4 linked regions of the Elephas maximus indicus genome follow. The protein of the gene in region 4 interacts with the protein of the main gene of each other region in a pairwise test. Links are inferred from orthologs where the notes say so. Each region holds a gene or a part of one and is shown on either strand. Other genes may lie near its edges.

Region 1 (7,553 bases), on a different chromosome or scaffold from region 4:
TTATAAAGGAACTAATTCCATTTCATCCAGTGTGACTTTTGTCCTTAGGGAAGCAGGGAGGACTCTCCAAGTTCTGACCTCAGTGTGCTTCCCTAATTTAAAGCCATGTTGAGGGGCCTGATCCCCAAATCCTAGGTCAAGATGAACTAACCCAAGTTGGAGCACTGGAAACTGTTAATTGCAAACATTACTGTTACCATTTAGACACATGTGCACTACCTAAGTTTTGTTTTTTTCGTGAAAAATATCCACCTACAAAAATTGCCTTGGTTAAAAACAGTTCTGCTTTGACTAACCATTTTAAGTGATGAGTGTATGCAAGGTGGACCCTTGATGAGCCAACATTGCACTGTGGATACATACCTATGTTTACGCGCTGTTAGAACAGAAGGCGCTGTATATAGAAATGTAATGTTGCTTTGAAGCAATATTTGCAAAACATGCAAACTTCTGTATTTGGAAAAAATAAAACAGGTTTTTGTTGCTGTTTATCAGTTAAATGTTATTGAATTATAAAGATTTTCACTTTTTAATGTGCATTACTTTTCTGTATCACCTTATAAAACTCTGCTTTTACATTCTAAACAGATTTATTTTTTGCAGGGAGGCAGATGCAAGCTCAAGATCCCAAGAAAGTATGCAAATACTTTAAAATGACTTTCTAATATTCAAAAGCAGAATGCCCCACAACCAGCCTCTAGCTCAGTCTGGCTCATGCTTTGTGGTACTAGCTGCAGGATTATTAGATTGTGATTGTTGAAAGCAGTGCAGGGATTGGTCTGGCCTTCATGGTATTAAGAGATGGCACCCATTGCAACTAGACCCTTTTGGGACTAGTCCAACCTGCCCATAGACCCTATTTAACTTCATCCTGGGTGGGCAGAAGCCTTAGGGAACAAATAAGAATAGTTTTTAAGATTTCAGAGCAGAGCTTCCCAATTACTCACCAAATTCCTTCTTCCCTTTCTAAATAATCACACGTATTTTAAAAAAGGGAGCCAGTTGTAGAGACACTCATTAAAATAAGTAGCTCCGGCAATTTAAATAACCCACTGGTTCACACCAGTTTTGGTTCTTAAATCTTACCAGAGTTTAAAATTTGCAAGGAAGGAGGTGAGGGAGTCTGGAGGCACAAAGCAACTGTCCAGAGTCTGGGGTGGGGTGGGGGGGCGGGGCTGGGAAAAAAACACTTCACATTTAAATAGCCCAATAGCACGGGCCTTCTGGGAAGCCTTTGTCCAAAGGGTAGAACAGAATAAGTTGGTGCCTGTATTGGCATAAAGATATGGCAGATAACCATTTAACAGCCAACTACTTTGCCCGCAGGATTCCACAGCTACCTCTGAGGCAGGACCTATCACTCTCATCTATCTTTGCAGATGGGAAAACAAAATTAGATTCTAGCTTCTAAGAGGTAGAGGTGGAAATGGAACCCAGGCAGCGGGACTCCAGAGCCTGGTAACTCTGATTATGTAGCCTCCCACTAAACAAAGGAAAGGCAAAAGAGACCCTTTAGAGCACAGGAAAAAAACTTCCAGATACGGTGGAGGGATCGACCCAGATCCAGCCCACACGTAAGAGTCCCACAAAAGCCAACAATGGCCCAGGGAATAAGAAGCAAAGGCCTTACCCTCCTAGGCTCCCGACTTGGTTTTGTCATCAGCCAGAAAGGAGGTGGGAAATAGGATTGGGAACATAAACTCAGTAAAGGGCGAACGAAAGAGGCACATCAGACTACAGGAGCTGCCAAAACACGTTTTTCATTAACGCGGAGTGGGGAGCCAGGCTCAGGGCCCCGGATCCGATCGTGGCCCCAGGCCACACAGAGCGGCGCAGCCGTCCTCAGCTCAGCCGCCCTCAGCTCCGCCGCTCAGCCCGTGATGCGCACATCGGTGCGGCGGCCCCGCCGCCGGGCCCGTGCTGCCTCGGGCAGGATGGCGAGCAGCTGCTCCTGCACCAGCATCTCCACGATCTGCTCCTTGGTGCGGATGTCGGGCCGCAGCCACTGGCGGGAAAGCTCCCGCAGCTGCCGGAACGCCTCCCGCGGGCCCGCCGCGTCCTGGTATCGGAACTGCCGGAAGCGCTGGCGGAACGTCTCGGGGCCGGGTCGGGAGCATCCAGGGCTCGGGGGCGAGCGCGGAGCGGCGTCGACCAGAGGAGCAAAGCCCAGGGGCGCGGGCCCAGCGGGCAGCTCCAGGGCTGCGGAAGCTGCCTCGGGAGGCGTAGGGATCGCCTCGGGGACCGCGGCGTGGGGGCTGGAGGGTTCGGGGACAGGCGGTGAGGCCTCTGGAATCGAAAAGGAACCTGCGGAGTTACGTTCCGGGTCCGACGTCGGGCCGGCTCCATCCTGTTCCTCCGGAGGCGCTGCGGGGCTCCCAGACGGCCCGGTGGTCGCCAAGCTCTCCTCCGTTGCTGCCATGACTCCGGCTCCGCACGTCACTCTGTCCGGCAGCTATGGGCTCAGCACTGCGTCTGCGCAGGGCTGGGGCGGGGGGAGGGGAGGAACGTTCCCGACTAAAGGGCAGGGGCCGCGCGACCCTAGACAGAGGCGGACGGGGGACGGCCTGGCAGCGCAGGAAGCCTACCTGCACCAGCGAGGCGCCACGAGTGGCCGGAAGCGGAAGTCTTCAGGCTTCTCTATGATCAGGTCGGCGCTCGAGAGCTGGGAAGCCACGTCGCTGCTCGAGGGAGAGTCGCCCCCTAGCGACTTACTTCAGGAAGACGCTGAGGTCGTGGAGCCGCAAGACAATCTAAGCGTGTGGGAACCTGAGTCCGATAATGGCTCTTCGGAGCACCCGTTTCAAGAGGAGGAAGAAAAGGAGGAGGAGGCGGGAAAGGAGGAAGAGAAAGTAAAGAAGGAGCACCCCGGAGGTGACGAGGTGTACTCCTCGACTGGGCTCCTTAGCTTCCTTGACCACTTCATCTTTCAGGTGACCCGCCCCTGGCCCCAAGGGCGCTCCTCCTCACTGGACCCTAGTTAGGATGATAGGGAGCCATGGGTTCTCCGGGGCTGGCACCTGGCTCGGGTAAAGCGGTGCAGCACAGCAGGCGGGGCGCTGGGGAGGGCCTGGCTCCGGGGCGGCTGTGCGGTTTCGAGTCTGGACCTCCCCACTCACCGGCATGCATCCTTCACTCCTAAATCCTTCAACCATCAAACAAGGAGGGCGTGACACCTGTCTCAATGCGAGAATGACAGATACAACGTGTGTAAGATTCTCAACACACTGCGTGTCCTCTGCGGGCTTGGCTTGGACTGTAAATGCCTTGCCCCACGGCGTGGCCAACAGCCTCATGTGTGTACTGAGCGCTTGAAATGTAGTTCGACCCAATTGAGATGTGTTGTAATGTAAAAGCCTGGATTTCAAAGATTTAGTACGAAAACATAATATAAAATGTATGAATAAGTTTATATTGATTACAGGTTGAAGTTATAGTATTTTGCATATATTAGGTCAAATAAAAAACGTTATTAAAATTAATTTCACCTGTTTCTTTTTGCTTTTGGCTACTACAAAATTTCTGTTCCCCAGCACTGAGCAGACTTAAGGCTAAGATGCCTTGGTACAGTACCCATTGCAGAGTTTATTCGCTTTGTGGCCTCAGGCAGTAATAGCACCTACCTCTCAGAGTTGTTGGATTAACTGAGTAAGCACTTGGAAAGAAAGGGCTTTTTGAGTGTTTGGTAGACTGCTATCTCTGAGCTACAGTTTTCTTATCTGTAAAATGTGGATGTAATAGAATTTACCTCATAAAGGATACGCTGAGAATTCAGTGAGATGAGGCAGGTAAAAAGCACCTAGCTCTGAAAACCCTTCAGTAAATGGTATTCTGTTTTTTTTTTTTTTTTAATATTTTATTTGTTATTGTGCTTTAGGTGAAAGTTTACAGCTCAAGTTAATTTTCATACAAAAATTTATACACATATTGTTATGTAACTAGTTGAAATCCCTGTAATGTGACAGCACACTCCCCCTTTCCACCCTGGGTTTCCCATGTCCATCCAACCAGCTCCTGTCCATTCGTGCCTTCTCATCCTGCCTCTGGACAGGAGCCACCCGTTTGGTCTCCTGTATCTGCTTGGACTAAGAAGCATACTCTTCACAAGTATTATTTTCTGTTTTATAGTCCGGTCTCCTCTTTGTCTGAAGAGTGGGCTTGGGGAGTGGTTTTAGTTCTGGGTTAACAGAGCATCCGAGGGCCCTGGCTTCGAGGGTTCCTCCAGTCTCAGACCCTTAACTCTGGTCTTTTTACTAGAATTTGAGTTCTGCTCCACACTTTTCTCCTGCTCTGTCAGGGACTTTCTATTGTGTTTCCTGTCAGGGTGGTTGTTGGTGGTAACCAGGTACTACCTAGTTCTTCTGGTCTCAGGTTGATGGAGTCTCTGGTTTATGTGGCCCTTTTGTCTCTTGGGCTAATATTTTCCCTATGTCTTTGGTTTTCTTCATTCTCCTCTGGTCTAAGTGGATTGGGATCAATTGATACATCTCAGATGGCTGTTCACAAACTTTTAAGGCTCCAGACACCACTCACCGAGGTGGGATGCAGAACATTTTAATAAACTTTGTCATGCCAGTTGACCTAGATGTCCCCTGAAACTATGGTCCTCAGACCCCAACCCCTGCTACTCTGTCCCTCGAATGTTTGGTTGTGTTCAGGAAACTTCTTTGCTTTGGTCCGGTTCTGCTGATTTCCCCTGTATTGTGTGTTGTCCCTCACTTCACCTAAGGTAATTCTTGTCTACTATCTAGTTAGTGAATCCCCTTCTCCCTTCCTCCCCACCCTTGTAACCATCAAAGAATGTTTTCTTGTGTTTCAACCTTGTCTTGAGTTCTTATAATAGTGGTCTCATACAATATTTGTCCTATTGTGACTGACTACTTTTACTCAGCATAATGCCTTCTAGATTCATCCATGTAGTGATAAGTTTTGCGGATTCATCATTGTTCTTTATTGTTGTGTAGTATTCCATTGTGTGTGTACCATAATTTGTTTATCCATTCGTCTGTTGATGGGCACCTAGGTTGTTTCCATCTTTTTGCTGTTGTGAACAGTGCTGCAGTGAACACGGGTATGCATATACCTAGTCATGTGATGACTCTTATTTCTCTAGGATGTATTCCAAGGAGTGTGGTTGCTGGGTCATATCATTCTATTTCTAGATTTTTTAGGAAGCGCCAAATCTATTTCCAAAGTGGTTGTACCATTTTATATTCCCACCAGCAGTGCAAAGTGTTCCAGTCTCTCCATAACCTCCCCAACATTTATTATTTTGTGTTTTTGGATTAGGGCTAGCCTTGTTAGGGTGAGATGGTATCTCATTGTAGTTTTGATTTGCATTTCTCTTGTATTCTGTTTGACAGCCAACTCACAAACAGGATTTGAATCCCCGTTTCACAGATTGAGAAACAAGCCCAGAGAAGGACAGGGGCCTATCTGAAAAGCTCTGTATAACCCTGGAAGCTCTTTGCAGTATGCGTAGACATGTTTAACAGCCAACACACCAGTGACCCTCCCATAGGATGTGCTCCCTCGGATAGGTAGAAGTCAGTCCTCAGTTTCCACAGCCTGAAAACCTTGAAAATCATCATACCAAAACCCAACCAAACTCATTGTCATTGATTCTGACCCCTAGCAACCCTATGGGACACAGTAGAACTGCCCCATAGGGTTTCCAAGGCTGTAAATCTTTATGGGAGCAGACTACCACATCTTTCTCCCATGGGGCGACTGGTAGGTTCAAACCACCAACCTTTCAGTTAGCAGCCAAGCACTTAACCACTGTGCCACCAGGGCTCCTGAAAGTTATCAAAATAGGCTTTTAATTATTTTAAAATCAGCTATTGACATATAAAAGTTAGGTGATTTCACATACAAGTCTGGATTTCCTGCTTTCCTTGAAAAAGTGGAAGAGCTGGCCACACTGGACCTACATTCCTGCAGGTCAACAATCAGATGGAGCAGAGTAGAGTTTCCTTCCTATAGACAAGATACTGTGTTCCAGTTGGCCTCAATCCCCACCACTTCCTATTGTTCCCTGAAACAGAATGCTTACATTTATTATTGCTCTGAGGTTGTTGTTTTTCCTCACAGCTGATATTTTTGTTTTCTCAGAGGTGGTGGCTTAGTTATCTAGTGCTGCTGTAACAAAAATACCACAAATGGGTGGTTTAAAGAACAGAAATTTATTGTCTCACAGCTATGGAGGCTAGATGTCCAAAGCAGGACATCAGCATCCCCGCCATGTCAGTAGCCTTGGGTATTCGTTGGTGTTTCTTGGCATTCCTTAGCTTGTGGACAGTTACTTACATGGTCTGTTCCCCTGTGTGTGTGTGTGTGTGTGTGTCGATTCTGCTCTTTTTATAAGACACCACTCAAAAGGGATTAGATTTAGGATTTACCCTACTCCCCAATGATTTCATTAACATAACAAAAGAAAACCCCTATTTCCAAACAGGATCATATTTACACATACTTGGAAAGAAAGGGATTAGGATTTCAGTATATATTTTGGGGAGACACAATTCAATCCATAACAGGTGGGAAAATACAGGGCTAATTTTTTTTTTTTAATTAACTTTTATTGAGCTTCAAGTGAACATTTACAAGTCAAGTCAAACTGTCACATATAAGTTTATATACACCTTACTCCGTACTCCCACTTGCTGTCCCCCTAATGAGTCGGCCCTTCGAGTCTCTCCTTTCGTGACAATTTTGCCAGCTTCCAACTCTCTCTACCCTCCCATCCCCCCTCCAGACAGGAGATGCCAACACAGTCTCAAGTGTCCACCTGATACAAATAGCTCACTCTTCATCAGCATCTCTCTCCTACCCACTGTCCAGTCCCTTCCATGTATGATGAGTTGTCTTTGGGAATGGTTCCTGTCCTGGGCCAACAGAAGGTTTGGGGACCATGACCGCCGGGATTCCTCTAGTCTCAGTCAGACCATTAAGTATGGTCTTTTTGTGAGAATTTGGGGTCTGCATCCCACTGATCTCCTGCTCCCTCAGGAGTTCTCTGTTGTGCTCCCTGTCAGGGCAGTCATCGGTTGTGGCCGACTAATGTTTTTTATATCTATTGACTTTAAACCTTTACTTCCCTTGCCTGGTCCTTAGGCAGTTGGGTTTGCTGAGCAAACCAACAGTCCTATTCCCTGTGTGTTAACAGGCAGTCGGTGTTCAGTGCAAAGGGAGCCCACCAACTGCTTCTGCAAGGGTGAGGAGGCATGGGAGGCTTCACAGGGGAGGGGGCCTTTAAGCTGAGACTCAAGAAGAAAAAGGTTGGAGTTAGGGAGCATTCCAGGTAGAAGGCACTGTGCCTGACTGTACAAAGGCACAAGTGAGTGGTAGCAAAACTTTGTGGAAGCTGCAGGCTAGACAGGGTAGTGGCTGAGGTCTGAGGAGGGGTGAGAGAGATGGTTGGAAGGTTGGTGGTGGCCAAGTCATAAACAGCCTAGAATTCCATGTTGAAAAATTTAGTCCGTGTCCTCTTGTGAAAAAGAATGAACTCTTGTGGTACTTGGAATCATGGAATGTTAGATCTCTAGTCCATTTCT
Region 2 (7,816 bases), on a different chromosome or scaffold from region 4:
GCGGGGCGGGAAGAGGGGGACGATGCGGCAGTCTGCTTCCATAAAGATCAGCCTTGGAAACCCTATGGGGCAATTCTACTCTGCCCTATAGGATCACTATGAGTGGAATCGAAGACTGGAATGGCAATGGGTTTGATTTTGGTTTTTAACCCCATAATTGACTCGACGGACGGTTAACAGGTAAGGGGCCCTGGTGGCACAGTGGTTAAAGTGCTTGACGCCTAACTGAAAAATCTGGGGTTGGAAACCACCAGAGGCTCCAGGGGGGAGCAAGATGTGGCCTTGGAAAGACTATGGGATCGCTACGGTTCGGAATCTACGGCAGTGGGTGGTGTCCCTGGACAGCCCCTGCTCTCTGGGACAGCCCCAGGAAGGCCCTGCCTTTGTGCCCCCATTTTTCTGTCCTCTAATTGCTCCCAAACCTGGGAAGTGGTGGGGGGACCCCACCCAGGTAGTTCTTGATCCTCAAGATGAAGAAGGGACCCATAAGGGAATCCCCTCCACAGCCCCTCTCCTCATTGAGGGTCAGGGCCTGGGAAGGGGAGCCCTTTCTGGACCTACAAGAACCCCTTTGACATCCTTTGGCTCCTCCCTGCTGCAGTGGGAGGGAGTGGGTGGGGAGGAATGGTATCTCCCTGACTCAGTGGGGTTGGATCAAGGGTTTCTGATAATGTAAGATTGAGGGGCATATAGTGAAGACCACTAAGGGTCTGACTTTTTGTCCTGGGTCCTGCAGCTCACAGCTCCTCATCTCCAGAATCCCTACCTTGCCCCCTAATACCTATCAGCTTTGGGGCCAGCCCTTCTCCACTGTGGTATGCCCTTCCTTCTCTCTGCCCTGCCTGGTCCTTTCCCTCCCTGCACACTGTGCCCCCATGTTCTCCTCCTCCAGTGAGGCCTCTCAGACTAGCTCTCTAGATTCCACTGCAGTGCTGGCTTGAGACCTCTTAGAGGCTGCTTCCTGGTCTTCTGACAATATTTTAATACCTATTCTTGTTTCTTGCCTCCCCATCAGACTAGGAACCAGCTTTCTGCCACAGCACCTCCCTGAGGAATTTCCTAGAAGACAGGACAACACTGGCCAAAGTGCCTGCCCCCCCAACCCCCCCCCCCAAACTATTCAGGTAGCTTCTCTTTCCTCAGCTTCCTCATCTGCAGTATGGACTGTGTAGGGGTTCCTGAAGGAGCCTTGGTGGCACAGTGGTTAAGCGTTCGGCTGCTAACTGAAAGGTGAGTGGTTCAAACCCACCCGCCACTCAGCGGGAGAAAGATGTGGCAGTCTGCTTCCAAAATGCTTACAGCCTTGGAAACCCTATGGGGAAGTTCTACTCTGTCCTATAGGGTCGCTATGAGTTCTAATTGGCTCAGTGGCACACAACAATGGTTCCTGGGATTTGTGTAGAAAGAGGAAGGGCTAGGCATGAAGGAACAAGATGGTGGGTAGAAACAGCACTGGTTTGGGAGTTAGAAGATCTGGGCTGTGGTCCTGGCTTGGTCACTAGCTGAGTGACCTGGGTCAAGAAGACAGCAAAGCCACAAACCAGTTGCTGTGGGGTCAATTATGAGTCATGACAATCCCACATGTGTCACAGTAGAACTATACCCCATAGGATTTTCGGTGGCTGTTTTTTCTGAAGTAGATTTTCAGGCCTTTTTTCCGAAGCACCTTTGGGTAGACTTGAACCTCCAACCTTTCAGTTAGTAGCTGAGAGCGTTAACCACCTAGGGACTCCAGAAGACAACAAGGGGCCTGGAATTTACTGTACATCAGTAATGGCACTAAGGGGTGGCATAACCCCCAACTGCACAGCCCTCCCTGCCCCGCAGCTTCCCTACATAAACATACCAGCTGGGCAAAGCCATGGTAGGCACTTTGCATGTGCAGCTTCAAGACAGGTTCCCCAGCCCTGCCTTCCCACCAGATGGCCTCCGCAAGTCCTCCTCTGTGGAAACGGCAGCCCTGCCACTATGTGCCCAACTCCTTGCTACATGTTTTATGTCTATTATCAAAGATGCATTACTTATGACAACCCTTCGAGATACGTATGTTATCACACTTGTGTTTCAGATGAGAAGCCCAGAGAGGGCGAGTAACTTCCTTGAAGTCACACAGCTGGGAAGAGTTTGAGCCAATGTGGATCCCAAGCCTCTTGAGTCTATGCTTCTTTCACCACCTCATGCTGGCACCACAAGCCACACAGTGCGTGTGTTTTATCCATGCATGTTTTAATATATGTTTTGATTATAAAGCAGGGGAGTTTAAAATAAAGGCAAGTTGTGCTAAGGTATTTATAGAAGGGAGAGACCTCTGTGGGCTGGAAGGCTTCATGGAAAAACTGGTAACTGAGCCCTTTTTTTTTTCCTTAGTCCTTCCTGTCCAAATAAATGTATTTCTCCTACACAGGCAAATATTTTAGAATGTATTTCAAAAGTTAGATTTCTGGGAAAAGAAAAAGAGGGGGTGGGGTAGTGGTTTAAGAAACCCATTAGGAAGCAGCTGCTGAGGCAGGAAGGAGGGGAGTGTGGAGGGTGGAAAAAAGCTGGTCCCCTGGCTTCCCCCGCTCAGCTATTTTTTTTGAAGCCTCTCTTTATCTGTAAATTGGCCTAACACTTGTATCTGGGAAAAAAATGTGAAGGTTCTGAGGAGGTGATTTGGAACAAACCAGAGGTTCTTGGAATTATTATGAGGAATGAGAGAAAGGGGCTTCTGAGTTGCACCAGGAGTTTAGGGTAGGTCCAGAAAAGGATTTGTGGGGGTGGGTATGGGGGTGGGGAGAAGAATGTGGCCCCTGGAATGAGGGCTGAGTGGGGTGTGGGGCCTCCTTTGGAGAGTGCAGAAGGCATTCTTTGCTGCGTGGGGCCTGGCCTGGGTGCTGGGGATTAGATCTCGTGTTCATAGTTTAAAGTGACTCCAAAAGTGAGCAGGGACCGGTGGCTGGTGTAGCAGAGCACAGGACTGGGTCCTCGCTAATGACTGTTCTCCAATGGCCCTGCCGCCCAGCATACAGGAGCTGTGACCCCCAACCCCACCCAGCCGGACCCAAGCGCCACTGCTCAGGCCTTGGCCTGGCGACCCCCTCCCCACAGATACACCTGAGCAGGCAGCTGTTGGGGAAGAAGGATTTGCTCAGGACAAGGTAGTTCTCCCATATCCAAAGAATGCCCCAGTCAGGTGGGACAGAGAAATCTTCCAAGCACCCCCACCACCAGGAAGGTTCTTATTGGGGAAGCCTGCACTTAGAGACTGTCTTAGTCATCTAGTGCTGCTAAAACAGAAATACCACAAGTGGATGACTTTAACAAAGAGTTTATTTTCTCACAGTAAAGTAGGCTAAAAGTACGAATTCAGGGTGTCAGCTCCAGGGGAAGGCTTTGTCTCTCTGTCGGCCTTCTCATCTATCTTCCCCCAGACTAGGAGCTTCTTCGTGCGGGGACCCCGGGTCCAAAGGACATGCTCTGCTCCTGGTACAGCTTTTTTGGTGGTATGAGGTCCCCTTGTCTCTCTGCTCCCTTCTTTCTTTTATATCTTAAGAGATTGCCTCAAGACACAATCCAGTCTTGTAGAGTATACAGCCTTACTAACACAACTTCCACCCATCCTCCCTTATTAACATCATAGAGGCAGGATTACAACATATAGGAAAACTCACACAATACTAGGAATCACGGCCCAGCCAAATTGATACACACCTTTTTGGGGGGACATAATTCAATCTGTGACAGAGACTACAGTCAGAGGAGGGTGGGTCTCTCAGGGCTTCCTGGCCACTGTGTATTTCCTGCACTAAGCACTCCTGAGGATTGGAGAAGTCGGACTTCTAAGGGAGAGCAAGGAGGAGAAATTCATTCTACTGTGTACAGGGCAACTTCACAGCTGCTTAATCTTCCAATAAACAAAAAAAAAAGGAAAAGAAACAACCAAGATGGAGACAGTCTTATCATCCTCATTTTATAGGTAAGGAAACAGAGGCTCAGAGAGGTTAAGTGACTTGTCCCAGGTCACACAGTGGTATGCGTATGATCTAGAGAAGCCAGGTCTGTGACTCCATCACGTGTGCTTTGCCCTTGCACGCATTCTCAAGTCTGGGACTGCTTCTCTTCAGGGGAAATTTCACTCTCTCAAGAAGTCCTCTTTCTGTCTAATCTGCCTTCTTGTCTGGGAGCTGGGCACTCTTCTTACCTGGCTTCTTTGCCCTTGGGGTGGCATACAGGCCAAGAAAGGCTGGTGTGGGTGCCCAGGGCTCAGTCAGGGGCCCTGTCATCTAAAGCCAGCCTAACTGCTGTGAGACTTTGGGCCGCCGCGAAGCCTCTCCGGGCCTCTTTTTCCACTTCTTCCTCGGGGGAAGCCCCGGGTAAGTTTATTTATAACCTGGCTCCGGGTTCCTGCCTCGCTAGGTGTTAGCAAGGCCTCAGAACCCTGTGAAAAACAGCCCCTCTGCCCCGGCCCCAGCGAGGCGGGTTATGTAACAGTGTGTGCAGCCTGTGTGTGTTGGGGAGGGGGGGTGCCGCGGGGCGGGGCGCTCGCGGCTATTCCGGGCGCCGCTATTTTTAGCCCCATTGATGAGGCTGCGTCGGCCGCCGCCGCCGGGATTCCGGAGACGTCAATGGGCGCGCGTCACGGTCCCCGCCTGCCCGCCGGGGGAGGCGCGCCGAGGCTGGGATGGCTACGCGGGCGGCCGCGGGCTGCGGGGGCGGGGGGCACGGCAGCGGCCGGAACTGCTGGGCCGGGGGCTTCCTGGGGGCGGGGGGCGCCGAGCCGCAGCCTTGCGGCGGCAGGAGCGCGAGCCGGCGGCGGCGGAACTAGCGGGGGCCCCCACGCGGCGCCCGCGCCCCCCGGCCTCCGGGTATGGGCGCCGCTGCGGTGCAGAGCAGCTCCCCGTCTGCTGATGCGCGACCCCGGAAAGCTAGGGTGGAGAGGCGAGGCAAGCACTCCCTGCCAGGTGAGGGGGCAGCCTGGGGAGGAGCACGGTGGTCCCCGGGGGAGGCCCGGGGAGGAACGGGGTCTACGGGGTCTTCGCGGATGCACTGCAATGGGCTCAGGGCCACGCTGGGAGTCTTGCTTGGAAACTGGAGAGTGGGGGGAGGGGGGGACTGGATTCCCAGCGGAACCTGCTGGCTCAGAGTCAGCCCCCAAGTGCGACGGCCAACCCTTTCTCTCCCAGCCGGCCAAGGGTGGGGTTTGGCCCGCGAGGGGCGCTGGAGGTGGCCAGGCCCGAGAAATTCCTTCCATATCCCCGCCGGCTGCGGGGAACGAGTTCCAGGAGCTCCGGAGCTCGGCTGCCAGGAGGTCGGGGCGGGAGGGCCCGGAATTGCCCTGCGCAGCCCCTGAGTGGGTCTGAGCCTGGAAATCGAGCCCAGAGAGGGTCTTATGGGGTCAGGAGCGGGGCTAGGGTTGGGACTCAGGAGCCACATCTACCATGACAGCGTATTTTTCTGCCGCAGCACCCTCTTTCCCAACAGCGACCTCATACTTGGGGAGAGCGGCACCTCCTCGGGGGGTGTTGAGGGGAGAGCTCCGTTCCTTGACTTCAACAGATTCTCCTTTTATGCGCCCATTTTTGATAAGTGGACTGGTGGACACAGAAATGCTGCAGAGGTGGCATGTCTTGTTGACAGTGAAGTGCTGGTCTGCGTTTTGGGGTTAGTATTATGGGCCTGTCGGGAAAATGAAGAATGGGCAGGGGCAGGTAGATTCACAACTGTTATACTTAAAAGGTGCTGATGGTTTGGGGGACAGATATCACCCTGGAGAGGGGCTCAAGTGGTGGCCACAAAGCATGGTCCCAGACACATTCCAAGGGAACACTTAGATCAGTCACTGGGATGAAGACTTAAAGGGGAAGCCAGTTGACTTTTTGTTCTGACCCAGAGCTGGGAGGAATGACAAGTGTACCAAAAAACCAAACCCATTGCCATTGACTCGATTCCGACTCATAGTGACTCTATAGGTTAGAATCGAACTGTCCCATAGGGTTTCCAAGGCTGAAATCTTTAAAGAAGCAGACTGCCACATTTTTATCCCGCAGAACAGCTGGTGACCTTTTGATTAGCAGCCCAACACTTAACCGCTGCACCACCCATAAAATGAAGATTTCAAATGTGGGCTATAGGGCAGAAGGATGGGCCAAAACTGACAAGATGAATGTGACTAATGGTAAGTGTTTACAGGCCTGGGCTGGAGTTCAGAAAGTCATCTCAGGAGTCAGGCTTGGTGAGAGGCCTGGCTCAGCTGCCCAGTGGGTGGGGTCTGTCACACTGTTCTGTGCAATCTGAGGCCTCTACCCACTGCACAGGTCCCAGGGGGCATGGTGATACCCCGCCCTGGGCTCCCTGGTCAGGCTACCTGGGTTCTAATCCCAGCATTGCCAGTTCCTAGCTGTGTGATCTCAGGCAAGTTGTGTAACCTTTCTGTGCCTTTGTTTCCTCGTTGGTAAATGTGCATACATCCTTCCTCATAGTGCTGCGAGGCTGAAATGAGAACATGCGTGTGAAGCGCTTCACAATGTATGGAGCATGGTGTTTGACAAGTATTAGTGACTGTTATTACTGTTAGTATATGTCCATTTCAGGGTGGGGACATAGGCAGAGGTTGTGCCCAGGAGGCCACCAGGGCTGCAGAAGGTCTGTCAACCATATACTGTTGCACAGGAGCGTTTAGATAAAAGACTCAAATACTTGGTAGGAAGGAGAAGAAGGTCTTCTGTGGGCTCATGCAGGAGGTAGAGCTGGGATCCAGGGCTGTGAGGCCTTTAGAGTCTGGGCTGTGACTCAGTGTAGGAAAGATCCTCTGATCTGCCCCAAAGGGGAAGAGGCAGTTTTGGGAGCTGTCTGGCTCCTTAGCTCAAATGTCCTCCCCGTCTCCTTCCAGACAGCTCGCTGACTCTCCTCTCAGGAGGGTGGTGTACCCCTCCCCATTCCACAATACTTACGGAACACTTAGTGCTGAGCACTGTTTTAGAGACTGAAGACTGGCCGTGGTGGCGTCAGGCAGGGTCCTTACTTATGTTCTAAAAACAGAATAGTGTGATGGGTATGGGGGGGCTCTTTAAGGAGGTGACAAGGGGAATAGAAACCTGATGGATGAGGAGCCAGCCTTGCAGGCATCCGGGCAGTGACTTTCTGGGCAGAGGGAACAAAGGCCCTGAGGTGGGGAAGAAAGCTCACGTGACTGAAACACAGTGAGTGGAGGTAAGGTGCAGGTGCGGGGGAGAGGGGGAGTGGCCGGGGGGGAGGGGAGGGGAGCCAGAGCTGGGGCAGCCTGATGCTCCCTCCCCGTTTTGTGGGCATCACTTTCTCCTCCGAGCTCACTCAGCTCTTGGCCCACCCTCGGAGGCACAGGGCTGTTTGTAAATGTCTTTGGTTCTTTCTGTGTCCCTCTCCCCACTACGACCTCCTGAGCTGCAGGTGTCTTGGTTTGCTCATTCTTTTGGAATGAGTGTTGAGGAAGGAGTTTTAATCTGGGACATGAGATTGTATCAGATACCTGTTCTAAGGTGTAATGAATCACTTTCTGAACATTGGGTGCCACACTCTGGGCCCTGTCCTCAGACACAGGCAGGGAAGACCTGGGTTCTTCTCTGGTTGGGCCTGACTGGGGTTCGAGGGTATTTGGCCCTCCCTGCCCTGCTGTCTTCTTCCCCAGCTGTGAGGAGACCCTTAAGGCCTAACTACAGAGTCGTTTGGGGGGTATGGGAGAACGATAGTGTCATTCTGGAAGCAGGTGTAGCCTGTGGGCTGCGACAGGCCTGAAGCCTGATTTTGCTTTTTGTTTGAGGTTGGAAGCCCTCCCAGATGTCCCAGACACTCTCCCCCCTCC
Region 3 (7,473 bases), on a different chromosome or scaffold from region 4:
TGAGGGTACCAAAGCTGGGTTCAGACACAGGTCACTCCCAGGCCATGGGGAGGCTTGTTAAGAGCCCAAGAGGGCTATACAGCCTCAAACCTTCCCAGTCTTGTTGCTGTATCTGTGGGTCATTGCTTCATTCCCTCATGTATTTGTTCATCAGTATTTCTTGAATACTTGTTGTGGCCACACATGTTCCAGGCACAGAGGACACGGCCTTGACCAGGACACTTGTAGCACTGTCTTTGGGAACAGCAAACACAAAGTCTGGGTACCATGAGGTAGTGCACCACCCATCTCCAGTGGTGACCGGACCTGGCCTGCAGCAGCTGCTCAATGGCTAGTGTCCTTCTCGGTTGGGGCCAGGGCCAACTCTGCCCCTGCCCCTGCATTCTGGGCTTCAGGGCTAGTGTCTTAACTATGGGGGTCCCAGATGCCATGGGTGGCATGCTTGTCACAGCAGATGCTTTTCTCAGCCTGGTCAGGCCTGGGCCCGTGCTTTTCTGCCTGTTAACACACCTACCTCCCAGGGTGCCCACTTTGCCCTGTGTGTTCTACCTGCCCTGGCCTCCGCCTCCTGGCTGGGATGACCCAGATAACCACCATTTCTCTGCTTTCAGGTCCGCGGTGTCCAGCAGATGATGGGGATGTTTACGGAAAAGCAGCATTGCTTGGGGCCTTCCTGGGTAGCCCCCCTCTGACAACGCCTCCCAGAGTCCTTCCCTCTCCTGGTGCCTGTGACCTGGGGAAAATCCTGGAGGGACAGCAGGGTGCCTTTCCATCTGGGGAGAGAAAATCCACTGGGGTGTCCATGATCTATTGGGAGAGGCTCCTGTCGGGCTCCGGCAGCGGGGAGGAGAGCATCAGCTTGAGGCTGACTGCACCCCTGAGGGCTGCAGAGGGCAGCCTGCCCAGGGGAAGGGCCCTCACAGACTGCCCAGTGCCGGGAAAGCAGCTGAGGGTGCAGGAGCAGCAGAAGTCACATATGAGGGAGGCTCCTGGAAGTGCCCTCCCTTGTGTCCCAGTTCACGCTAGGGGGGATCTTCCCACATTCAGGGAGGAAGAAATGGCAATTCTGACCAGCAACCCTCAGGCACTTCCCACTGGCCAGGTGGCCCCTGCTAGGGACGAGCTGAGGGAGGCCCTCCACACTGGCGCTTGCCTCCTCCCTGGAGATAAGCCCTTCGAATGCAGGGCCTGCAACAAGGTGTTCGTCAAGAGCTCTGACTTGCTCAAGCACCTGCGCACCCACACGGGGGAGCGGCCATACGAATGCGCCCAGTGCGGCAAAGCCTTCAGCCAGACGTCGCACCTGACGCAGCACCAGCGCATCCACAGTGGCGAGACGCCCTACGCGTGCCCGGCCTGCGGCAAGGCCTTTCGGCACAGCTCATCGCTGGTACGCCACCAGCGAATCCACACAGCCGAGAAGGCTTTCCGCTGTGGCGAATGCGGGAAGGCCTTCAGCCACGGCTCCAACCTCAGCCAGCACCGTAAGATTCACGCGGGCGGCCGGCCCTACGCCTGCGCGCAGTGCGGCCGCCGCTTCTGCCGGAACTCACACCTGATCCAGCACGAGCGCACGCACACGGGTGAGAAGCCATACGCCTGTGCGCTCTGCGGCGCTGCCTTCAGTCAGGGCTCCTCACTCTTCAAGCACCAGCGTGTGCACACGGGCGAGAAGCCCTTCTCCTGTGCTCAGTGCGGACGAGCCTTCAGCCACAGCTCCAACCTCACGCAGCACCAGCTGCTGCACACCGGCGAGCGGCCCTTCCGCTGTGGGGACTGCGGCAAGGCCTTCTCTAAGGGCGCCGTGCTCATCAGCCACCGCCGCATCCACACTGGCGAGAAGCCTTTCGTGTGCTCGCAGTGCGGCCGCGCCTTCCGCGAGCGCCCGGCCCTCTTCCACCACCAGAGGATCCACACCGGCGAGAAAGCTGGGCGGCGGCCCAGGGCAAGCACTGGACGGCCCCCTCAACCCAAGCCACTATCCATATTATCGGAGGGTGCGCAAGGGAAGGAAACCGATCACACTGCCCCCTCAGGCCCAGCCGCAGGCCCAAAGCCCATGGAGGCCTGAGATCGCAACTCCGACCTAACATGAACGCAGGGAAGGGAACCCCAGGCAAAGGACTACAGATCCACACAGGGGAGGAGCCCTGTGCCTGCGAGCCAGGGACGCAGGAAAGCTTTCGTGTGCACGTGGAGACAGGATTTGCTGCTTAGCCAGAGTGCATCACACCTGCTCCAACCCCAACACTGCACAGAAGTCACCAGAAGGACAGGGCAACCGGGAATTTGCTGTCAGAGCTGGAAAGGGCATGTTGGGGCTAGGATGAGGGCAAGGGTGAAGGGAGGAGGAGACTGGAAATCATCCCTGGGCTTTCTGGGTCAAGATAGCAGACTGGACACATTTCGTCTGTCTTGGCTCAGAAACAACACTAAAACCAGAAAAGAAAAGGCTTAAAACATAAACCCACAAGTGTGCGGATGGTGGAAAAGGGGCTAATAGTAACACCATTTTGAAGTCAGAAGCAGATGGGGATATTGTCACTAATTTAGAGAAAGCCAAATACAGCATTGGCACTGGAGGAAATGGAGGGTTGTCTAAGCAGGCTTATACTGCAGAATTCCAGCGGCTTGAGAACCAAAGTCCAGCACTTATGGAATGAGAAGCCAGGGGACCTACGACAAAGAAGACTGGGAGAGACATGAGAAGCAAATAAACAATAATTAGAACACTTGATCTTTCCCTACGTGGTGTGCAGTGGAAGATTCATCTCTGGGGATTCTACACAGTCTCAGAGAAAAAACGTAAGGATACTCCCACTGGGGTACTTTCCCTTCCAAAGGGCGTATGCTGATAATGCTACAGAGAAGCTCAAGGTTGACAAGTCCCACCCACACACAGGCACAGAGCTTCCAATCAGTGGAATTCATCATGGGATTATCAGAGGACACCAAAATGGAAACAATTTAGGGTTGGCTAAATAAGTCACAGTTCAGCACTTGATGTGGAGAAGCAAAACTGACCCTGTCCCACAGTCAGACTTAAACAGTTACATTGCCTATTGAGATGAACTAAAAATACTGCATGGTTTAGAGTCAGGAAAGGTGTGCATCAGGGTTGTATCCTTTCACCATATTTATTCAGTCTGTATGCTAAGCAAATAAAATGAGAAGTTTGACTATATGAAGAAGAATGGGGCATCAGAACTGGAGGAAGACTCATTAACCTGTGATACGCAGATGATACAACCTTGCTTGCGGAAAGCAAGGAGAACTTGAAGCACTTACTGCTGAAGATCAAAGACTACAACCTTAAGTATGGATTACACCTCAACATAAAACAAAAATCCTCACAACTAGACCAATAAACATCATGATAAATGGGAAAAAAATTGAAGTTTTCAACAATTTCATTTTACTTGGATCCACAATCAATGCCCATGGAAGCAGCAGTCAGGAAATCAACTGACATATTGCACTGGGTAAATCTGCTCCAAAAGACCTCTTTAAAGAGTTAGAAAGCAAAGATGTCACTTTAAGGACTAAAGGTTTGCCTGACCCAAGCCATGGTGTTTTCAATCACCTCATAATGCATGCGAAAGCTGGAAAATGAATAAGGCCGAAGAAGAATTGACGCCTTTGAGTTGTGATGTTGGTGAGGAATACTAAATATACCAGGGACTTCCAAAAGAACAAACAAATCTGTCTTGGAAGAAGTACAGCCAAAATGTTCCTAAGAAGGGAGGATGACAAGACTTCATCTCACATACTTCAGACATGTTATCAGGAGGAAACAGTCCCTGGGAGATCATGCTTGGTAGAGGGTCTGCAAATAACAGGAAGACCCTCAATGAGATGGACTGACACAGCAGCTGCAACAATGCACTCAAGCATGACAATGAACATGAGGATGTCCAGGACTGGCTAGGGTTTTGTTCTGTTGTACACAGGGTCACTAAGAGTCAGAACTGACTCAAAGGCACCTAATGACAAAAATAACAGGTCACCCTTCTAGTTCTGGTCCCCAAAATAAATGAAACGTTGAGCACCTCCCCTAAGTCTAGGCAAAAGCCTGCACTCTACTTCGGATAGCTGAAGGTATGATAATCATGGGACAAGTGTGCTACTTTCCTGCCACCAATGGGCTAATGCAATCTCAGTCACTTTGGTAATTGTGCAATTTTTGTTTGGTTTCTTTAAATACCTGCTGCATTCTGCAGGTTGCCCCTCTTTGCAAGTAAATTTCTTTTCCAAATGCTTTTGTCTCTAAGCTTTCCTTCTAAAGATATACAGGCTTGTGCTGCCTATCATGTCATGTTTACTGGAAATACTGAAATTAGTACGTAAATGTTTATTAGATATGAATATACTAGTTTAAGGGGTAAAAAACAGCACAGAAAAGCATCCGAGTTTGAAGAGTGGCAAAGTGGGTTGTGAGATTACTTTTGAACTTTTCTGTTTTCCAAAGTCACTACAATAAGCCCATATTGATTTTTTACTATAATCTTATAATATCAATTTTATTAAAAATGGTCTGAAGAATCATGGCACACAGTGAGGGCCTTATGTAACTGTTGAAGCAGTTTCCTCTTCAGTAAACTGGCGCCTACCGGAGTCCTTGTTACCCCGCACGTCCGCAGGGTGCTCAGTGGAGGTCAAATGTCAGGGCGGAGGAAGTCTACGGATCAGGACTGACGACCCGAGCCTAGCCATTCCCAAGCCCACTTACACGCTCGTCTCAGTCTAACTAGACGTAGCGGCGGAACCGCCACTTCCGGCCTCTCTAGGGGCCGGGGCGACTCTAGCCGTTGCCGTGGAAACAACTAGAGGCTGCAGAAAAAGCACTAGCAGTTACTAAGTGGACCGCTGGGCTGCAAGGAAGAAGCCTCACGGAGAGCTCTAGGGGAATGGCTCGGGCGAAGCGCCAGTTCTGACTGGTCAGGACGTCAGCCTCCTCGTCCGTCACCTCGCCTGCCAGTAGGAACCGGACCCGTTGTGCACATGCGCGATATGCCAAAGTACTGTCCAACTTGACAGTTTGTAAGTCCTGGGGTTCGGGTTTGAGCGAAAAGCGACCGCTGAGGGGGTGGGCCGCAAGCACTTTGTGACCCTTCGGGCCCCATCGTAAATGGGACACCTCTCAGGCATAAGAAGCCTCTGGAAATGAGCTCCCACTGGTCGAGACTGGGACTCCGCTTTTTTGCTGAGGCTCAAGGGAAACGTAGTCCGAAGGGAGAGGACGGTGCCTTTGGGGTAGGCCCCTGATTAGCCAGGGCAACGCGTGGGAGGGGCGAGTCGGTGCGTTCTACGCAAGCGCGTGGAGAATGGCGTGCGGAGCTGGCGCGGCGCCATTTCCCGGAAGTTACCTACGGGGCACCGGCGCCGCGGTAAAGGTGAGCGTGGCCTTTCCCACCCCCTGGAGCGGCGCGGGGCCTACTTTCGGGACCCGGCCGTCCCCTACGCTCGGCCTTGAGCGTCAGTTTCTGTCCCGACGTGCCGTGCGCGTCCGCACCATCGAACGTAGTCCAGGCCGTTCCTGCCTCCCATGAACACCATTCTGTATACCCGTACCTGGGCCCCCGCCTCCGTGAAGACCTCCTCCCTCCTTTCCCTTTTTGGGCGCCCGCAAGGGACAGACAGCAGAGGTCAAGGGCCCCTCGGACAGGCCGGAGGTTGGGCCTGAGCTGAACAAACCTCCTCCGAGCTTAATTTCCGGTCCATGCTTGACTTCTCACAGTAAAGCGAGCTGTGCCTACCTGATGAAGATGTGAGAAACGCTCGACGATTGAGAACTCGTTAGGATTCTGAAAGAGCTGGTTAAATTGCATCGAGTTCTGAACAGAGTTTTGTGTGAACGGAAATTTGCCAGGTGAGTGTAAACATTTTAAACGTACATTATTCACATTTTTTAAGTGTGATATTTAAATTCAAGAAATAGAAAATGCCATGTGATTTATTAATGGTTCCTTTCTTGTATCCAATGTCGATTTAAATGTACTATCACACATTGTACTTATATGTTTGAACTGGGTATTTATCTCGCAAATTTAAATGTTAACAAACATAAGCAACTAGTGGAAAGAAAACGTTTCCGTTCTGATAGAGGATTATTTCACTGAAAACAACTTGATGGCGTCACTATTAAGTGAGATTTTCTTCAAAAGGTGCCGAATAAACATACGAGAATGTTGTAAAGTGGGACTTTAAATGTAGGAAGTTAGCAAACCCTGTGAATGTAAAAACAAAGTTATTGCGTTTTTTCTAATATACTGACAGCTCGTGACTAGAACCGTTGTAATATGTACCGGCTCTGATTCATTTCTACAAATGTATTTATGCATTCTTTTTATGTCATCAAAGTTTAATACTCATTTTTAACGTAACGTGATAAAAACAAAACTGCTTGCCGTCAGATGGGTTTAGACTTATAGCGAGTCTATAGGACAGTAGAACTATCCCCATAGGGTTTCCAAGGCTGTCATCTTTACGGAAGCAGACTGCCACATCTTTCTCCTACACAGCAGCTGGTAGATTTGAGCTGCCAACCAGACACTTAGAAGCTGACCACTTTAATGACTGCGCCACCAGACCTTTTTAAATGTAATATGGTGACTATAAAATATGCTCTAATGTTAATATTATTTTTTGCCCTTGAATTCTAGTATGGGACGAACCAGAGAAAACCCATGTCGAGAATTTTTCAAGTATGAAAAGATTGAAAATAAAAGCACGTGTAAAATTTGCAACACAGATATGGTTGGAGACCATGCAGCGAATTTAGAGAGACACCTGAAGCGTCACCATACGGATGAGTACAATGCAGTGCAAAGCAAGAAGACAAAGAAGATTGAAGAAAGTGTCAGAAGCGTTCCGAATAAGCAACAAAAAACTTTAGAGGAGTTTATGGAGTGTGCTGTTCCAGAATGCCTTAAGGTGAAATTAGATGAACAAGTAATTGTTGATGCATGTGTTGAATTAGTTACTGTTAGGGGTTGTTTGTTTGAGTTAATTGAATATTCAGGATTCTGTAAAATTTTAAATCTAATTACAGGTACGTCTCCCATCCAAAAGTTTGCCTTATACCACTTCGTTTTTACAAAAGACCTACATTAGTACCTGTTTTCGCTAACTGAAAGGAACCAGAAGAGGATTTTCTCTTTTGGGAAAATAGCATTCTTGTATGTAAACAGCTAATTTGGGGGTGTGCACATGCTGCTGATTGTGGGCTTAGTAGGTGAAAACCAGGTCAGTGATGCTATATGGGTGCCAGTTCTCTGCAATCATCTTGCCAACTTTGGGGGTGCAGTAGTCTGGGAACTCGAAATACAACATGCCTGAAGGGGGTAGCAGGTCCAGGTCAAGGTCCAGTGCCCTCCATTCCAGGCTGGCAGGGCCAGGGGCCAGTGTCTGTAGTGCTGCTATAACAGAAATACCACAAGTGGATGGCCTTAACAAACAGAAATTTATTCTCTC
Region 4 (7,573 bases):
TCATACATGTTAAGCTTAGATGCTAGAACAGGGATCACTTGACTGTGGTTTACAGTTCAGAAATGTTTTTCTAAATGTCTATCTGAGGCATGAGAATGTGTCAGTAACATGAAAATTACAAGAGCTTCAAAACGCTACACCACATGGTAATATTTTTGTCCCCACAGTAGGTCATGTTCAAAAGCTGAGCCCGTTTGCCTATCTTTATCAGTGAAATTAATCAGAAGTACATCTTCAACCCTGAGGGGGTCCAGCCAAGAGCTAAAGGATGTGAAATATGAGGGAAGAAGGGCTTATTAGACTTTTAAGAGTGCTTGAGCAGTTTACATTTTAGCTAGGAAAGGGAGATAACTTTACTCATGAAGGAGCCAGGTGGCTACCTGCATGACAGATACTATATTCTCAAAGTCATCTATCTCTGTGTATCTCTCACTGAATATTCCACCTCAAATGTAGGTACAGTAGACTATTTCCAAAGATGACTGAAATTATAACGTCTACCCCCAAATATCTTTTGTAATGAGATTTTGCCACTGTTCACATCAAAAGGTGAGTCTATTTCTCCTTCCCTTGAATCTGTGCTGGATTATGACTTATTTCCACCAATAAAATGTGACAAAAATGACATTATAAGAGGAAGTGGCCTTATAACTCTTGGCACACTGCCATGAGACTGCCATACTGTGAGGAAGCCCAAGCTAGTCATGCAGAGTAGTCATGTGGATGAGAGCCAAGGTGCCCCAGTCAATACCCAGGAGAACCTAGTCCCCAGCTGAGCCACCAGCTGAATGCAGGCATAGAAGTAACTCTAGGTGAGACCACAGCAGTGGAACTGCCCAATTAACCCACAGAATCAGGAGAAATAATAATAAGTTTTTATTTATTTTTTATGTTCTTATGCAACAATACATGACTGGAACAGTAGACATGCTTCAAGTTATTTTGTTCTTTCTCCTCACTTTCTCTTTTTGTGATCTCATCAATCACAATTTCAGTACATTGCCATCTCAAGAACACTCAAATCTATGTCTAGCTCCAACTTGTCTTTCACACTCCAGACCCACATCTCGAACTGCCAGCGGGATACCTCCAGCTATAGGCCTCTCCTGCCCCACAATTTCAACATACCCCCAAACTAGAGTCCTTTCAAAGCTGCACTTGCTTTGTATTTCTCCATTTTTATTGATGTCACTACCATCTTCCATGCTCTCAGGCTTGAAACCGGTTCCTATACCCAATCACTCTGAGTCTAGTCAATTCTTTCTCCCAAAATGCCTCTTGTAGCCATTCCTCCTTTTTATTCTCTTATTATTATCATTTACATTCACTATTACAATAATTTTTTGTGTGATATTACTGACTTACCCCACAATCAATTGTTAAATGAAAACCAAACCAGTTGCCATCCAGTCAATTCCAACCCATAGCAACCCATGTATGTCAGAACAGAACTGTGCTCAACAACGTTTTCAACAGCTCATTTTTCAGAAGCAGATCGCCAGGCCTTGCTTCCAGGTGCCTCTGGGTGGACTCAAACCTTAACCCTTCAACCTTTCTACTAGCAGCCCAGCATCTGAGCCACCCATAAACTCCAAAACCAGTTGCCAGGGAGTTTAATTCTGACTCATGGCAACCCTATGGTGTCAGAATAAAACTGCACTCGATTACTATTTTCTAAATCCCAATTCTGACTGTATTCAACAATGCCTCAAGGGGGGAAAAAAAAAAGGTTTCAATTGCTCCTCACTGAACTAACTAAATTCAAACTCTCTAGAACGCAATTTTAGGCATCCCAGGATGTGATCTTTACTGGGTTTTGCTGGTTTGTTTGTCACTCCATAAAAATTTACTGAACACCTCACTGTTTTCCATGCATAAGGCTAACCCTGGAATAAAAACAGAATCCCTACCTTCAAGGAAACCAAAGTCTTCCCAAACTCCTCATGCCACTACTGTGGGGACTACTCAGTTTTCTCCACCTGCCTTGTAGTTTATGGCCAGGACTGCTCTTCTGACAGGGTAAATTCCCAAGGCCCCGAGCAAATGCCACCTCCTCCGTAAAACTTTTCCTAGCCACCTATTCTGCCCTCTAAGCCACAATGGTGGAGATGGGATGTTCCCATGGAAAAGTAAGCCCAGTCCTAACGCACCTCTCATTTCCTCTCGTATTCCTGACATCCCCCTCTTTTCCCGACTGCCAAGGAGGAATAAGCTTACTTGAGGACCGGGGTTTATCTCTGCATGGCCTCTACATGCCCGACACGTACCTGGTATTCAACAAATATCGGTGAACTTCTTGGTGAGCGCACACAGACGTATACGAGATGCCAGCGGCCAAGACACTCTAGGCGGCCCGGAATGTATCTCACTGAGATTGCACCCCAGGATCTAGCGCAGAGTCTGGCACACCATGGACACTCAATAATGCTTGTCTAATTGCTGGTTAACGGACCAGAGGTTCAGCGAAAGTGTACAACAAAGATATGCCCGGCCTCGCGAAAGGCTCCCGCGCTGCCCGCGGCGCCGCTGGGTCCGGAGTCCCCACACACCTGTAGGTGCAGGCCGGCCTCTGGGAGCCAGGGCCGCGGCGCCTCGCAGAGCCGGCGGGTCTCGCCAGCACTTCCAGCAGCCGCGGGCCAGGGGGCCGAGGGCTTTTCCTCGCACCGCCGGGGTGCCCCCGGAGACGCCCCGGGCCCCGGCCCGCCGTCCCGCCTCGCAGGCCCAGCCCCGCGCGGGCGGCGGAGTCGCGGCGTCCAGCGGGTCCCGCGCCGCTCTATGAGCGCAGCCGCTCGTCTCTCTGGTGCGCCTGGCGCGCGGGCAGGAGGCTACCAGGGCAGTCTGGCCCGGTCAGGGTCCGCCTCGCACCCTCTCTCCCACTCCTTCGGGCGCCCGCTGACTCTCCGAAGGTTCCCCGGGGCCCCTTCACACTAGAGTGAGAACGATTCGAAATCCTGACAGAGCAAGGCTTGCAGCTGACGGCCGGGACCTGGGAGGCAGACGCTGGTGGGCGGAAGGGGCCGGGAGAGACGCAACGCACTTCCCGCCTCGCCCAGGCCTCCCTCAGCCCCCAGAACCCAGCCCCCGGGGGTCGGACAAGCAGCTCACCTCGTTTATGTAAATCATTTCAGTTAAAAGCTCTTTATTTTAAACCAACAAGGTGGTAAAGACAAAACCGAGTCTCTGTTTGGGGTCCTCACGGGCTAGTAGTGTGGGACACGAATCAGTAATCAATTAAAATACAGCAAGCAGCAAAAATTAATTTAAAAAAATTTTACGGGTTGTGTATGTACAATAAAAACTCAACTAACATGGAGATAATGAAAAATAAATGTCCCACTCACCAGAGTTAACTATTTTCTGTGTATATCTTTCGAGGACCCTACCTACCACAAAGTAAACAAAGAAAACCAAACCCGTTATCAAGCTGATTCCTACTTACAGAGACCCTATAAAAAAAAAAAAATAGTACTCATAAATATTTGTTTAGTGAATAAGTATATATCCGTGCATTTTAAAATATGGGATCACTGTATAATTTTGCACCTTAGATTTCTCAGTTAAGATAGCTTAGAGATCTTTCCATAGCAACTTATCCTTTATGAGCTAAATAGTATTCTATTGTATGGCTGTACCATAATTTACTTAACTGTGCCTACTGAGGTAAAAAAAAAAAAAAAAGTATACTGAGGTATACTTATGTTATTTTCTTTATAAACAATGCTGGAGAGAACAAAATTGAATATATTCTTTTATATTTCTAGGACACATTCCACACATTGGAACTGGATGGTCAAAGGACATAAAAAAACACTCCCCCAAAGGACATGTGCACATAAAATTTTGGCACACAGTGCTCCTATTTCAACTTTAAGGGCATTGAGGTTTAAAGGATCCCAAAAACCCAAACCGGAGCTGCGGAGTCTGTTGATTTCTGCTCACGGTGACCCTATAGAGTAGAACTGCCCCATAGGGTTCCCAGGAGCAGTGGTGAATTTGAACTGCCCACCTTTTGGTTAGCAGCCCAGCTCTTAACCATTGCGCCAACAAACCAAAAACCAAACCAAACCCACTGCCGTTGAGTGGATTCCTACTCATAGCGACCCTATAGGACAGAGTAGAACTGCACCACAGAGTTTCCAAGGCACACCTGATGGATCTGAACTGCCAGCCCCTTGGTTAGGAGCGGTAGCACTTAACTGCTATGCCACCAGGGTTCCTTAAAAGCAAAAGGAGAAGCGAAATAGAAAAATCAGCAAAGGAGATGAACATGGCTGTTCACAAAATCAGAAACACTGCCCAGACCTGCCCATTCTCACAATTGTTGTTATGCTTGAGCCCATTGTTGCAGCCACTGTGTCAAACCATCTCATCGAGGGTCTTCCTCTTTTGCACTGACCCTCTACTTTGCCAAGCATGATGTCCTTCTCCAGGGACTGATTTGTCTTGATAACATGTCCAAAGTATGTGAGACATAGTCTCGCCATCTTTGCTGCTAAGGAGCACTCTGACTGTATTTCTGCCAGGACAGATTTGTTCCTTCTTTTGGCAGCCGGTGGAGTATTCAGTATTCTTCGCCAACACCACAGATTGAAGGCATCAGTTCTTTTTCAGTCTTCCTCATTCATGGTCCAGCTTTGGCTTGCACATGAGGCGACTGAAAACACCATGGCTTGGATCAGGCATACCTTGGTCTTCAAGGTGACATCTCTGTTTTTCAACACTTTAAAGAATTCTTTTGCAGCACATTTGCCCAATGCAAAGTGTCTTCTGATTTCTTAACTGCTGCTTCCATTGGTATTGATTGTGGATCCAAGTAAAATGAAATCCTTGACAACTTTAATCTTTTCTCCATTTATCATGATGTTGCTTATTGGTCCAGTTGTGAGGGTTTTTGTTTTCTTTATGTTGAGATGTAATCCATACTGAAGGCTGTGCTCTTTAATCTTCATCAGTAAGTGCTTCGAGTCCTCCTCACTTTCAACAAGCAAGGTTGTGTCATCTGCATATTCCAAATATTACAGGTTGTTAATGAGTTTTCCACGAATCCTGATGCCCCGTTTTTCTTCATATAGTCCAGCTTTTTGGATTATTTGCTCAGTATACAGATTGAATAGGTATGGTGAAAAGATACAACCTTGACGCACACCTTTCCTGATTTTAAACCACACAGTATCCCCTTGTTCTATTTAATCAACTGCCTCTTGATCTATGTACAGGTTCCTCATGAGGACAATTAAGTGTTCTGGAAGTCTCATTCTTTGCAATGTTATCCATAATTTTTTATGATCCACACAGTCGAATGCCTTTGCATAGTCAATAAAACACAGATAAACATCTTTCTGGTATTCTCTGCTTTCAGCCAGGATCTATCTGACATCAGCAAGGATATCCCTGGTTTCATGTCATCTTCTGAATCTGGCTTGAATTTCTGACAGTCCCCTGTCGATATACTGCTGCAGCTGCTTTTGAATTATCTTCAGCAAAATTTTACTTGTGTATGATATTAACGATATTGTTCCACAGTCTCCGCATTCGGTTGGATTACCTTTCTTGGGAACAGGCATAATTGTGGATCTCTTCCAGTCGGTTGGCCAAGTAGCTGTCTTCCATTCTTGGCATAAACTAAAACAAACTGAGGTAGAAAAACTAAATAAACCTATTATAAAAGAAGAGGCTGAAGAGGTAATAAAAAAGATTTCCAACAACAAAAAAAAAAAACCTAAGCCTGGATGGCTTCACTGGACAATTCTACCAAACTTCCAGAGAAAACACCAATAACACTAAAGGTATGTCAGAGTATAGAAAAGGAAGGAATACTCCCGAACTCATTCTATGAAAGCAGCATAACCCTGATATCAAAGCCAGGCAAAGACACCACTAAAAAAAGAAAATTACAGACCAATATCCCTCATGAACATAGATGCACAAATCCTCAACAAAATTCTAGGCAATAGAATTCATCAGCATTTCAAAAAAATAATTCAATATGTCCCAGTGGGATTCATATCAGGTATGCAGGGATGGTTCAGTATTAGAAAAACAATGCCATCCATCATGTAAATAAAACAAAAGATAAGAACCACATCATCTTATAATTATTGCAGAAAAGGCCTTTGACAAAGTCCAACACCCATTCCTGACAAAAACTTTCTGCAAAATAGAAGGCAAATTCCTTGACATAATAAAGGGCATTTATACAAAGCCAACAGCCAACATCATTCTAAAGGGAGAGAAACTGAAAGAAATCCCTTTGAGAATGGGAACCAGACAAGGGTGCCGTTTATCACCACTCTTACACAACATTGTACTGGAGGTTGTACTCAGAGCAATAAGGCAAGAAAAAGAAATAAAGGGAATCCAAACTGGTAAGGAAGAAGTAATAGCATCCCTATTCACAGATGATATGATCTTATGTACAGAAAACCCCAAAGAATCCACAAGAAAACTACTGGAACTAATAGAAGATTTCAGCAAAGTATCAGGATACAAGATAAACATACCAAAATCAAAGACAACTTCAAAAAGGAAATCACCAAATCAGTACCATTTACAATAGCTTCAAGAAGATAAAGTAGTTAGGAATAAATAACCAGAGACATAAAAGAAACTACAAAACACTATTGCAAGAAATCAAAAGAGACCTATATAAGTAGCAAAACATACCATGCTCACGGATAGGAAGATGCAACATTATGAAAATGTCAATTCTGCCCAAAGCTATCTACAGATACAACGCAACCTCGATCCAAATCCCAAGGGCATTTTTTTTGACTAGATGGAGAAACAAATCACTAACTTTACATGGAAACGGAAGAGGCCCTGGATAAGTAAAGCATTACTGAAGAAGAACAAAGTGGGAGACCTCACACTCTCTGATTTTAGAATCTATTATACTGCCACAGTAGTGAAAAGAGCCTGGTACTGGTACAAAAACAGACACATAGACCAATGGAACAGAATTGAGAACCCAGATGTAAATCCATCCACCTAGCAGCAGCTGATATTTGACAAAGTCCCAAAGTCCATTAATTGAGGGAAAAACAGTCTCTTTAACAAATGGTGCTGGTACAACTGGATATCCATCTGTAAAAAATGAAAAAGGCCCATACCTCACACCATACACAAAAACTAATTCAAAATGAATCAAAGACCTAAATATAAAATCTAAAACAATAAAGATCATGGAAGAGAAAATAGGGACAATGCAAGGAGCCCTAATACATGGCATAAATAGTATGCAAACCATAACTAACAATGCACAGACACCAGAAGAGAAACTAGATAACTGGGAGCTCCTAAAAGTCAAACACTCATGCTCATTGAAAGACTTCATCAAAAGAGTAAAAAGAGGACCTACATATTGGGAAAAAATTTTGGACTAGAACATATCTGATAAGCGTCTAATCTCTAAAATTTACAAGATACTGTAACACCTCAACAACAAAAAAATAAATAATCCAATTAAAAAATGGGCAAAGGATATGAACAGACACAAAAGAAGACATTCAGGCGGCTAACAGACACATGAAGAAATGTTCACAATCGTTAGCCATTACAGAAATTCAAATCAAAA

Evidence for each region.
Region 1: the proteins of PGBD1 (region 4) and SCAND1 interact in binary tests that used the Homo sapiens proteins (3 or more experiments, as listed by UniProt). The two-hybrid records come from large-scale screens. The link is inferred for Elephas maximus indicus from reciprocal best matches to the Homo sapiens genes PGBD1 and SCAND1.
Region 2: the proteins of PGBD1 (region 4) and NR4A1 interact in binary tests that used the Homo sapiens proteins (3 or more experiments, as listed by UniProt). The two-hybrid records come from large-scale screens. The link is inferred for Elephas maximus indicus from reciprocal best matches to the Homo sapiens genes PGBD1 and NR4A1.
Region 3: the proteins of PGBD1 (region 4) and ZNF446 interact in binary tests that used the Homo sapiens proteins (3 or more experiments, as listed by UniProt). The two-hybrid records come from large-scale screens. The link is inferred for Elephas maximus indicus from reciprocal best matches to the Homo sapiens genes PGBD1 and ZNF446.

What each region holds. Positions count from the first base shown.
Region 1 is NC_064843.1:33,573,678-33,581,230, reverse strand, and holds SCAND1 (SCAN domain-containing protein 1), read right to left. Parts: upstream 2,420-7,553; coding exon 1,871-2,419; 3' UTR 519-1,870; downstream 1-518. Other genes in the region: uncharacterized protein LOC126067332, read left to right, coding at 2,418-2,930. UniProt on the Homo sapiens protein: May regulate transcriptional activity.
Region 2 is NC_064822.1:107,447,448-107,455,263, forward strand, and holds the start of NR4A1 (nuclear receptor subfamily 4 group A member 1), read left to right. Parts: upstream 1-4,798; 5' UTR 4,799-4,940; intron 4,941-5,118; exon of another isoform or gene 5,119-6,154; intron 6,155-7,816. UniProt on the Homo sapiens protein: Orphan nuclear receptor. Binds the NGFI-B response element (NBRE) 5'-AAAGGTCA-3'. Binds 9-cis-retinoic acid outside of its ligand-binding (NR LBD) domain.
Region 3 is NC_064829.1:87,338,885-87,346,357, reverse strand, and holds the start of ZNF446 (zinc finger protein 446), read left to right. Parts: upstream 1-4,458; 5' UTR 4,459-5,393; exon of another isoform or gene 5,394-5,737; 5' UTR 5,738-5,869; intron 5,870-6,662; 5' UTR 6,663-6,663; coding exon 6,664-6,933; intron 6,934-7,473. Other genes in the region: ZNF324 (zinc finger protein 324A), read left to right, coding at 612-2,071. UniProt on the Homo sapiens protein: May be involved in transcriptional regulation.
Region 4 is NC_064819.1:79,717,021-79,724,593, reverse strand, and holds the start of PGBD1 (piggyBac transposable element-derived protein 1), read right to left. Parts: upstream 3,002-7,573; 5' UTR 9-3,001; coding exon 1-8.